Drosophila melanogaster: one gene and its partner. The gene in region 1 interacts genetically with each later gene. Each region holds a gene or a part of one and is shown in the gene's direction. Other genes may lie near its edges. The genes, in order: Invadolysin and SNF4Agamma.

Region 1 (5,247 bases):
ATCAAAATTGTGGAGCTGCTTGACCCTCGGTCTCAAGCTGTGGCACGACATACTACCCTTGCTGTCGCGGCTATGCTTGTCCAGGTGCTTCAGCGGCATATGGCGCTTCAAGGACTTGCGTGCACGCATTGACCATTGCAGGTGGAGACTCTGCTCCCCTTCGGACTCTGAAGCTCCTCCGTGCGAGCGGTAGCCGGAGGCGTCTAGATTGCGCTGCAAAAGGAATGGGATCAAGGTGTTACAGTCGCATCTGAGTAAACATCACTAATGAATAGGCTAACTATGTCATTTATATAGCTTGTGGAGCTATAAAAGACGAACGTGTTCAAGTCAGCAGCAATTTGGTAAAGTGTGTCGTTGCAAATATGTCCATGCGTCTGGTTCTAATTGGCGTGGCCATCCTGGCATTGGCCTACGGACAACCTGTTCCCGGAGCTCCAGAAGTCACTGAAAGTAATTAGATAAACTAATCCTAACGCTTATTGTTCATCCAACATATTCGCCACAGATTCTAATCCAGTACAGGAGATAAATACAGCAAAACCCATGTATAATGACTACCAACGGACCCTTTTCCTGCTGCTGCCCCTGCTGTTTCCTAACCAATTCTATATACCGACTACCAGCGGCTAATAAACTACCTTAGTTCTGTTCCACAATCTGAACTTGGCGCGCTCGTCATTTGGGTCACCCGTTAGAGTGCTCTTCTTGCCCTTTATACCGACTACCAGCGGCTAATAAACTACCTTAGTTCTGTTCCACAATCTGAACTTGGCGCGCTCGTCATTTGGGTCACCCGTTAGAGTGCTCTTCTTGCCCTTTTTGCCTTTCTTGAATGTCTTATGGTTGTAGATGATGCGGGCATCTCTGAAAGAATTCGGAATTTAAAAATAAGAAATTTTAGGAGAATGCAAGAACCCACATGGGCAGCGCCCGCACATTCAGTTTAGGCAGTCCCGTCTTGTTGCTCTTGCTGAAGGCCACCTCCATGCTGTCCAAGTAAGCCGCCCACACTTGCAGGGTCATCAGTTTGAGCTCCGGCTTGGCGCCCATGTTGAGCAGCTCCTGGAGGAAGCCGCGCAGCACGTAGTTGTAGAATTCCCACGAGGTGATATCGTCCTCATCCTCCTTCTCCGTATCCTTCTTCTGTCGGATCGTCCTGGCTGTATATCGGCCTGCTGCCGTGTCATCAAAGTTATCCTCGGCGGTAATGTCCACTGCACGAATCTGATCCTTCTGTGTGCCACACTCTACGCAGTAGTAGAATCCCTCGCGCTCCTGGAAGGTGGTACCCTCGCACACATCGCAGTGCATGTTCTCCAGCTGCATCGTCTCGAGAACTTCCTCCATTTTTGGGACTTTCTCTTGACGGTATCAGATTTAAATTATATTATTAATCAAACTCGCGGTTGTACACAAATCGTGCATGTGATAGTGGTGGGGAATGATCTATGTTTACAACGATATCATCCGTTCTTCGATTGATTCGATATATCGTCCGTTTCTTCTATGAAAACGTACATCACTAGATTAAGGCGGCAAATAAAAGTTGGTTCAAAGTAACATATTTTTAGTCATGGTATTTTAATAAAATTTTATTTTTATATAAAATTTAGAGAGCGGTTTTTTTTTGAAAGTATATATTAAAATCTAATAAGCGTAAAGGGTATTTTTTATTGTTTTTTATGCCAACCTGTTAGATGCACTTGTACGTTAGCCATCACTGAACTCTAATCTCTCGTAACATTTCTGTTATCTTTTTGGTGTGACCATAAGCAGTAAGAATTGAATTATCCATGTCTTGACGCTTGATTTTTAAAAAAGTCGATTCGAAATATCGATAGGCAACGTAATTTTTTAGCGCTAATAAGAGGTGTTACCAGATTCGGAAAAGCATAAGAACGCGTTTTTCGTTTTCGTTGAATGGCCACTCTGTCCTTGTGTCCATGTACTTATGCATATGTATAGAGACTCGATTCAAAACAAAATCGGCTGGCGAACGTTAACGTCGTTGTCGGACGATTCGACTCGCGTCTCTCTAAGTTTGTTGTTCGTGCCAACCACCCCCGCCGGTACCCAAACGCCCCCTTTTCGCGCGAGTGTTTTTATGGTTTTGCTGAATGAAAAGGCTCGACGAATGCGCTTATTGAGTGCCCACTGTGTCGGGTATGGCAGTGAGTCCTACAGAATGCTCTCGCTGCACGGACAGTTCATGAGAATTTGACATTTAAGTGCGAGTTTGTTCCTCCTTTTGCGGCTAACTGCAGTTTGTAGTTTGCTGTAGTTTTATGCACATTTTTTTGGCGTGGGCTGAGATTGGGACACACCCACCCGAAAACAAAAACAAAAAGTAGTCCAAAGGCCCCAATAATTGAGTGTCTCTGTGTGTGCGTATGTACGTGTGTGTGCGAGTTGTTTATGTGTGCGAGTGAGAGGAAAGGGATTCGAATCGAGCCGGTTTTCGCGAGTTAATTGACAAAGCAAACGGCGGAAAAGCAGCAAACATAAGCAAACCAAAGAGGAAAATAAACAAAGAATTTTAAGTGCAGATATGGGTGTTCGAAGTCAAGTGATAATTAAACAAAAATCACACTAATCCTGACAATGAAAAGGATCACCGCTACAATGCTGAGTACTCTATAATATCCACGGCGATATTCCACCCCGAAGTAAAACACCATGGCCAAAACGCCCCCGCTCCGCCCCCACGGTAACATGGCCAAATTCCTGGCAGCCCTCGGCATCTGCTCTTGGCTCCTCGTTTCGGCCACCGCTCACAACTGCCAACACCAGCATCCAAAGGCCCACGAGGTGAGTTGCGTTCGTTTGGCTCCAAAAATGAAGGGATTGGATTGAATTGGATTGGACTCTATGGTATTGGGTTGAATTGGCCTTCTTCTCTTACTCCGCCCTTTCTTGCAAATAAAACAAATAATATCCGGGAAAGGGCTATTTTGGGAACACGGAATCTTTAAGTGCTCACCCGCACACGTGTGCCAAATATTTACAATCCCAACTACATTAATATTAGTCTTTTTTTTTTTAGTCTTGCAACTAGCTAAGATTTTTCATGCTAGATAGCTAGATTACAAGATAGTATAAGGTATGAAGATGGTTTGGTAATTTCAAAAGAAAGAGTCCTTAAAGTTTAAATCAGCTGGAAAATCGCAACTTCGGAAATTTCAATGCTCGAGTTTCTTGTTTGTTTCTGCTTCGGCCATTTGGGCAGATTGTCCTTCGTGCTCATTAGAGAAATTTCATAATTGGTGCAAACTGTGCTCGTCGAAAATTTATAATTGATTGGGCTTTGGCATGAAAAAGGCAGGCCTAATTAGTGCCGATTTAAGAGGAGCCCTGAAATTGCCATTCTCATAATTCTGCCATAGAAACAGCGGCAAAAAACTGAAACAATAAACATCTAGCGATGGTTGGTGGCAACCACAGCTTATTGACTAATTCCGCTGGCTAATAATATGCGCATTCGAGATTCAGTCAGTCAGTCAATGCAATGTGGTTTAGTTTGTCAGTCAGGTGGTGGGGCTGCATATTAACAGGTAGCTCATAACGTGTAACCCACCATCGTGGTTACCAAACCGCCTCCATCTGCACCACATCGACATCCACATCCAGTGATCTAGTTAGGGTTTAATGTCAGACGCTGCCCGCCAACTTGTTGCTCGGGATCTGCATTCCGTCGGGCTTTTGTTTTTGTGTCTTTGGAAGTTTTTCGCCTGCACTTTACTGCTTTCCAATCAACGGCGATTTAATTGGCGCGTCGCCATAAATAAAGGTCGCCTTCAATTGCGCAAAAAGGGGAAATTTACATGATTACTGTATCGAGGCGGGTACAGTCTGTCCTCCGTGGTTGCAACTGCAGTATAATCGAACATAAAATGTTCTCGGAAATATGCATTTCCCAGGTGTTTTATAACTTTTCAAATATATGCACTTGTGGAGAACGAAATTAATACACAGCTGTATATGGTGTGGCAGCTAAAAGCAACTATAGTGTAGTTTGCACAAAAGATACATAAGCTTTTTGCAAACATTGGCAGGATGCATCCTATTTTCAAACTCACCAGGGGACACAGAACTTTTTCATTCGTTAACAATATAAAACACAATATATGTATGAAAAATCTGTGCAAACGCTAAAGTTTTAATTAGCGAGTAACTACTTTGTTTTCAAGCCAGTAAAAGTGAATTGGAATGGCAGGGAAATGAATTAATTCAGCGACTGTCTGTTGATGGCTAACGATGCTGTCGAGGTCGCCCAGCGTGTAATTAATTGAATTATCTGTAACTTAAACTGTTGTAAATGCAAAAAACCGTCGTCCAGATTATGTGTCTCTCTGCGCACGGAATGTCCTGCTGTCTGGCCACTGAAAATCATCCTGACAGGAGCAGTGTTTGTAGAGGAGGATAAAGACATAAATATATGTATGGCGAACGAACCAATGGTACATACATATATGTTCACATCCGTATGGAACATCCATTCAATTAAATAGCGGTCCAGCTGAAACCGAAGTACTCGATTCTAATTAGTGTTATATAAATTGAAGAACGCGGCTGTCAGCAATTGCGAGAACAACTGCAGCAATGTGTAAAATTCGCCAAATTAAACCATTTGTCACGTTGCCAGCGTGCGTGCGCGCCTGTCAGCGATGTCGCGGACTGTATTGACCTTCTAATACGATAAACGCACACTTAACTTCAGAAAAACTGCCATTAAATTAAATTATCTTTTGGCTTAGCAAACTGAGCTGCAGGGAATCTCCATTCAGGATGAAAAGCTTTTTGATTCACGAGCTAAACTGAAAAGAACTTAATCAAAGCGTGATGCTAACATTTTCCAGTACAATCAAAACAGGTGCTGATTTGATATGACGAAGTTACACATGTTTCTATATTAATGAAACTCCCTAGGTAACTATAAACACGAATGCAAATGCATTCATATCGACAATGTGTGTTGCAAGCATCTGCATGTACATATGTATTTCCATTTACATATTAAGTGGATAGCAGTATATCCATACTATACTTCTGCATTTCTGCCTCAGCCGCATCACGATTAAATATTTATCAACTTGTCGAAAGCAAACTTTAAACAAGCAAGTTACGATGCAACAAAACGATCCGGACAGCAACCAACAAGAAGTTATTCAGCAAAGTTTGAAGCGTCCTTCTCGATGAGAAGTTGCAAAATAGAAAAGGAAATCGATTACGGATTCTCTGGTCTTC
Region 2 (5,148 bases), about 11 Mb from region 1:
ACTTTTAAGGAATTCGTTCATGCACTTTTCGAGACTTTCAATTATGATTTCCACAAAGAGAGAGTGAGAAAGAGCGTGGCCAATGTGTACATTATGTAGTCTGCTTAGAGGCGTCAAGAAAGCCAAACTAAACTAGCGTGCAATGAGCCCGTAAAGTCAACTTTCCGACTGCCTCTGACCACTGCACAGTGGGGCGAAACTCGGATTACCAAGCCAAAAAAACCAACAGCGTTGAACTAAAGTCATTCCATAGAGCCAACGTGGCGTATTAGTAATGTTAGGAAATGTTAGCTGTAGTTGAGTTGAAACTATTAGTTAAAATTCGTTCAAGTAAAGTCTATATAAAATTAGGTATGTATAATGCAAGATATATAAATCAATGACCATTTGTTTTAATTGTTTTGATTGGTTAATTTTAGTGTTCATAAAAGCGTCTTTATATCTAAGTTTTGCTAAGTTTTTTATATTAGAGAATTTACGGAAAATGTTTTATATAGTTCCATCAAAGATCAATATACTCTAATGCCATTGGCTTAATTGAGTTTCAGTTGTTTTAGTCAAAGGAAACAAGAACTTTGCCACCTGTGCGCAATATTGATTTGATTTTTCTCACACTCCATTGCAGTTTTCGGCGAGGCCGACAAGGAAGCATCAGCCACAGGATGCAGAGCAGTGCCGGCGGAGCGTCGGGGGGCAGCAACTACGAGGACGTGGCCGCCGCCCGCCGAGGACGCTTCCGTGTCACCTCCTCCACGCCACAGGGCCCGCCCGAAACGACGCTCGGCCGCTTTCGTCTCATGCCCACGTGTAAGTTGATTTGGTACTTTTTCGCCTTTACAATTTGAGTTTATATAAAGTATACGACATTAATCATTACAGTTATGCTAATAGTAATTGATATCTTTTGGTCAAATTCTCGATAATAAATGCATGGTGCTGAATACTGACCCCTTCTTTCGCCTTTGCAGCTAATTATGGCGCCATTTCGCCAATCCTCCAGCGGGGTCGCTTCGCCGTGATTCCCGAAGAGCCCCAAGCCGGTTCCCCCGCATTGGGAACGCCTCCGCCGGGCGGCCGAACAGCGCGTTCTCCATCGCCCGAATGGGACTTCGACATCGAGCAGGTGAGTGTTCCCAGTTCCTCGGCTGGGATTGATTGATCGAGCTAGCAAAAAACCCTGAGCATCGAGGAAACTTATTTTCGAGAGTACTTCAAATGTATTTATTGCGTCCTTGGACCTATTTGGAATGGTCTAAATGAAGTTCGTGAATGGTGGCAAATTCATCGACTCCGATTTCAAGTATTTTGCTGTTTCTGGTGGCGTCATTGTGTGCTCCTCGGTGGCCTCTGTGCAATGCGCCATTTTTATTGATTTTTGTTGGCTTAGCTGAAGTTTCAAAGAGTTTGGGTGGGCTCCGAAAGTGTGAAAGGCATGCCAAGGCAACTGGTTATGATTATTTATGGGGCATAAAATCTAATTTCCAGCACTATGATGGAAATAGGAATATGCTTATGTACATAAGTTTAATTTTTTTTAGCTAAAGCTAGCTAAAGTTTTTTTTATAGCTTTTATAGCTTTTTTTATAAAAGCTAAAGTTTTTTTTATAGCTAAAATGTTTTCTATTTTGTATGTTCGGCGTGATTTACAGAGCGGAGCAATTTTTGCAATTCAAACTTATATCATTTTGGCGCCTAAAGCGGCGGTGCATGACAAAAACTGATTGCTATTGCGAACACGGTCCGATCTGGCAACGCGTTGTTTTTTAAGTGTGACCGCCGCCGGAAAGTAGCAAAGCGCATTTTATTTAAAATAACTTCTACGCAACTAAAGAATTCTCAATGATTCTTGTTTATTGAATAAATAAGTAGATATATGTGCGTATTTACTTACGCGAGTGGGCACTTAAGAATTTACTATTTAAATGCACATATTTCAGTAAAATTGCAAACAACGAGTTATAGAAAAATACTAAAACAACGTTACAGTTGTGGTCACGCTAATTCCAACTGGATTGTAAAAAGATCTCTAGCGATAACGATAGGCGAAGAGTAAGACCTTTTCTGCTGGATTTCGCAAACGATAACGATGACCACAATCGTGAGTTAGGTTGCGAACTTTGCTTGGTGAAAACGCAGCGGATTACGAGGTTGGGAAAAACTTTTAATTCGCGTTAAAAAACGGGAGTGCAGTGAAAAACAAAGCAAATTAAATGTTCTTAAATTCTTACTAATTTATAATAAATAATTTAATTGAGAGAAAATTCCGGCATGGTGTCAGGATAGCATGTCCGCGCCAGTGGGTGGCTTAGCCATAAAATTCTTCTGTGATAAGCTGCGTGAACAGCTTTTAATTGTGCGCGAATGGATTGCAGAAATTGCAGTGACAACAACGGCAACAACGGACAATCGATCTTTGTTCTTTTGAGTGCGCAAGTGAATTGTGAAACTTCTTTCTTGTTACACAAAACAATAGCCTCTAATCACTTTTCCTGCCCATGCATACACACACATGTGTGCATATGTACATCCCTATAAAAAATCAATAATCGGCGATCAGCTGTTACGCATACAAACAAACACATGGCGTCGCTGGAAAGAGCGACAGAAACGTTTTGGAAATTTTCCACGGACAAATACTTTTATTTGCCCAGATTTGCTATTCTTCTGTTTTTGTTCCTTGTGTCAGTTTCTAGCTGTGTTTCGCGCAGTAATGGTTTAGATTCTTAATAAAAAGTGGCAAACACAACAACGTCCTGCTGCTCCTCTTCTTCTTCTCACCCCTTCCATTGTCCGATCACTGCGTGTTCCAATTGGAAAGTCGAGTCCAAAGTGGAAGCGCGCGCCCGAATAAATTTTCATTTTGATTCTTGATTTTTATGGCTCGCATTCTTTGCTTTTATTAAGATCGATTCGGTTGTTGTTGCTGGTGTTTTCGTGTTTTGTGATTTATTTGGTGTTGAACCAAATGGCTGATAATTAGCCGAGTGAAATGAGTGCTGTAATCTAATCTGAAAAGTCAACACCTCGAAAGTGTTTGGACATCCAGCGAAAAGTCGTCATTATAATTTCGCTCTAATCTCTGAATATACACTCATAACATATATATAACATATAATGCGCCAACACAACCAGCTAATTCGTTACGTCTCTTCTTATTTACAATAATTTCTTAGCGCAGCTAAATGCCTAATCGCGAAATTGTTTACAAAAGTTTTGTTTTCCACCCGTTCAGGTGAACGTGAATGTGTGTTAGTGTGTACGTGAATGTGCGGATGTGTGTATGCGTTCCTGTGTCCGTGAAATTAATTTTTTAACCGAAATTCGACAATTGTGATTCTGCAATCTGCCAGCGCGAATCAGAAACATCCAATTACTGATAAAAACACACAAAAGGTGGGTGACAATTTATTTTCTTTTTATAATTATCGAAAACCTGATTTACTTCACTGCCTTTATTTTCTTTTTGTGTTGATATGAGCGCTTGACGTTTGATTTTCCCCGAAACTTTTCATCTGCCTTTTGTGTCGGTGACTAAGTTGAGTGGGTGGGAAATTCCCCCAGTTCGCGGCGACGCTGGGAAAATACCCAAAATCGCCCAAAATTTTTTCATAATTAGATTTTCAGAATGTGTAAACAATTTTATTAAATTTTTTTATATTTAGAAAACATTTAATAAAAGCGATCAATTATGTAATAGATAGTGTATAACAGTATCAATAACAGGAATAACAGTATTAAATCAGGCAATGTAAAATATAATAACATAAAACAATTCAAAGGGTCTTACCTGAATTCTTCATACGACTTTTTTTTGTCGAAACTCATTTGAAGTTATGGTTATAAAATCGTGAGTGGATTTCTTTAAATGTAAAAGTACCCTATCACGATGCCTACTACATTTTAGACATTGACTAATTAAGTAAGCACACTTCAAGCGAATGCCCAGAAATTAAAAAAAGATAGCTACTGAAGTTGGCAATCAGGAAATGTCGAACTTTGATCTGCGGATACAACTACTAGAAGTCGCAGATAGTCAGTCGCACTATATGGTAAAATTGAATGTTCGCACTTACAGCTGCCACGATTTGTGTGCCGCCAATTACCTTAAAACAAAAATTGCACTGCCAATGTAAACAAAACGTATTTGAAACTCGTGTTCGAATGGATATACATATGTATGTATGGATTTATTCCTAATCACATGCACACGATACTCCGGATCAGCAGATCGACCAGTGATCGTCGAGATCCGTGAAATTGGATTTGTTTCTACTTTCCGTCCTTACGAAGTGGCTGCACTGAAATCGAAACTGTTTGTTTATCTTAGCAATTAGTTAGCCATAAATGTGCGAGTAAGCGAATAGAAGGGATAAAGCATAAATAATTAAAACTGTTCGCATTAGCAGATGGCAATAAAATAACTCGGTTTCTGGTCCATTCGATCGAATTCAATATTGTTGTTTAGTTTCCGAAAATATTGGTTTTGTAATTGACTTGACTTTGTTCAATTCAACTCAAGTTCCCCGAGCCCCACCATCTTGTCTTCGCCCTCCAGTTTTCTTCTCGTTTTTCCATTTTGGTTCGCCAGCCCGAGTTGAACGAACCTCTTTCAATATCTTTCAGAAAAAGAACCCAACTTTGCTTTGCTCGAAAATCAATATTATTGTTTAAATATTATTCTACGTATACGACACAGCGAGCAATAAATATTTACTAGATGTGCTCATGTTGCAAATTGTATTGGTTTTTTGGGGTTGAGTATGCAAAATCAGCAGGGAAATGGAGCAGAAATTGTTTTCGAGATTAGGAATTGAATAGGCGTAGAAAAAAATGATATTCTAGGAAACTAAATCTTAAACAAAGACGAAAAGCCTTCCTGTTTTGTTAGATTATGGTTCCAACTTTGTATATTATCAAGAACTGGTAAAAAAAACATACACGCGAATTCTTTAGTGGAATTCTTCCAACAATTTAAAAAATGATTTATTTATTGGATCGAAAGATTTTATGTTTAAAATTAAGAAGCTTTAGGAAATACTTCAAATATTAATTATAATGTATACATATAATTGTAAAGCTTTGAAAATGTAGTGATCACATAAAAAATGGGCCATATTTAACAACTTCAAACGGACAAGGTCACTTGAC

Evidence for each region.
Region 2: of Invadolysin (region 1) and SNF4Agamma, changing one enhances a phenotype caused by changing the other (phenotypic enhancement), as found in Drosophila melanogaster (one study listed by BioGRID).

Annotation. Positions count from the first base shown.
Region 1 is NT_033777.3:10,142,722-10,147,968, forward strand, and holds the start of Invadolysin (invadolysin), read left to right. Parts: upstream 1-1,946; 5' UTR 1,947-2,679; coding exon 2,680-2,811; intron 2,812-5,247. Other genes in the region: TAF1B (TATA box-binding protein-associated factor RNA polymerase I subunit B), read right to left, coding at 1-213, 747-867, 923-1,350; CG42759 (uncharacterized protein), read left to right, coding at 366-453, 509-633. UniProt on the Drosophila melanogaster protein: Essential for the coordination of mitotic progression, and also plays a role in cell migration.
Region 2 is NT_033777.3:21,154,265-21,159,412, forward strand, and holds the start of SNF4Agamma (SNF4/AMP-activated protein kinase gamma subunit), read left to right. Parts: upstream 1-2,097; 5' UTR 2,098-2,147; intron 2,148-3,173; exon of another isoform or gene 3,174-3,232; 5' UTR 3,233-3,393; intron 3,394-4,973; exon of another isoform or gene 4,974-5,125; coding exon of another isoform or gene 5,126-5,148. Other genes in the region: cDIP (common Dpr-interacting protein), read right to left, coding at 5,126-5,148.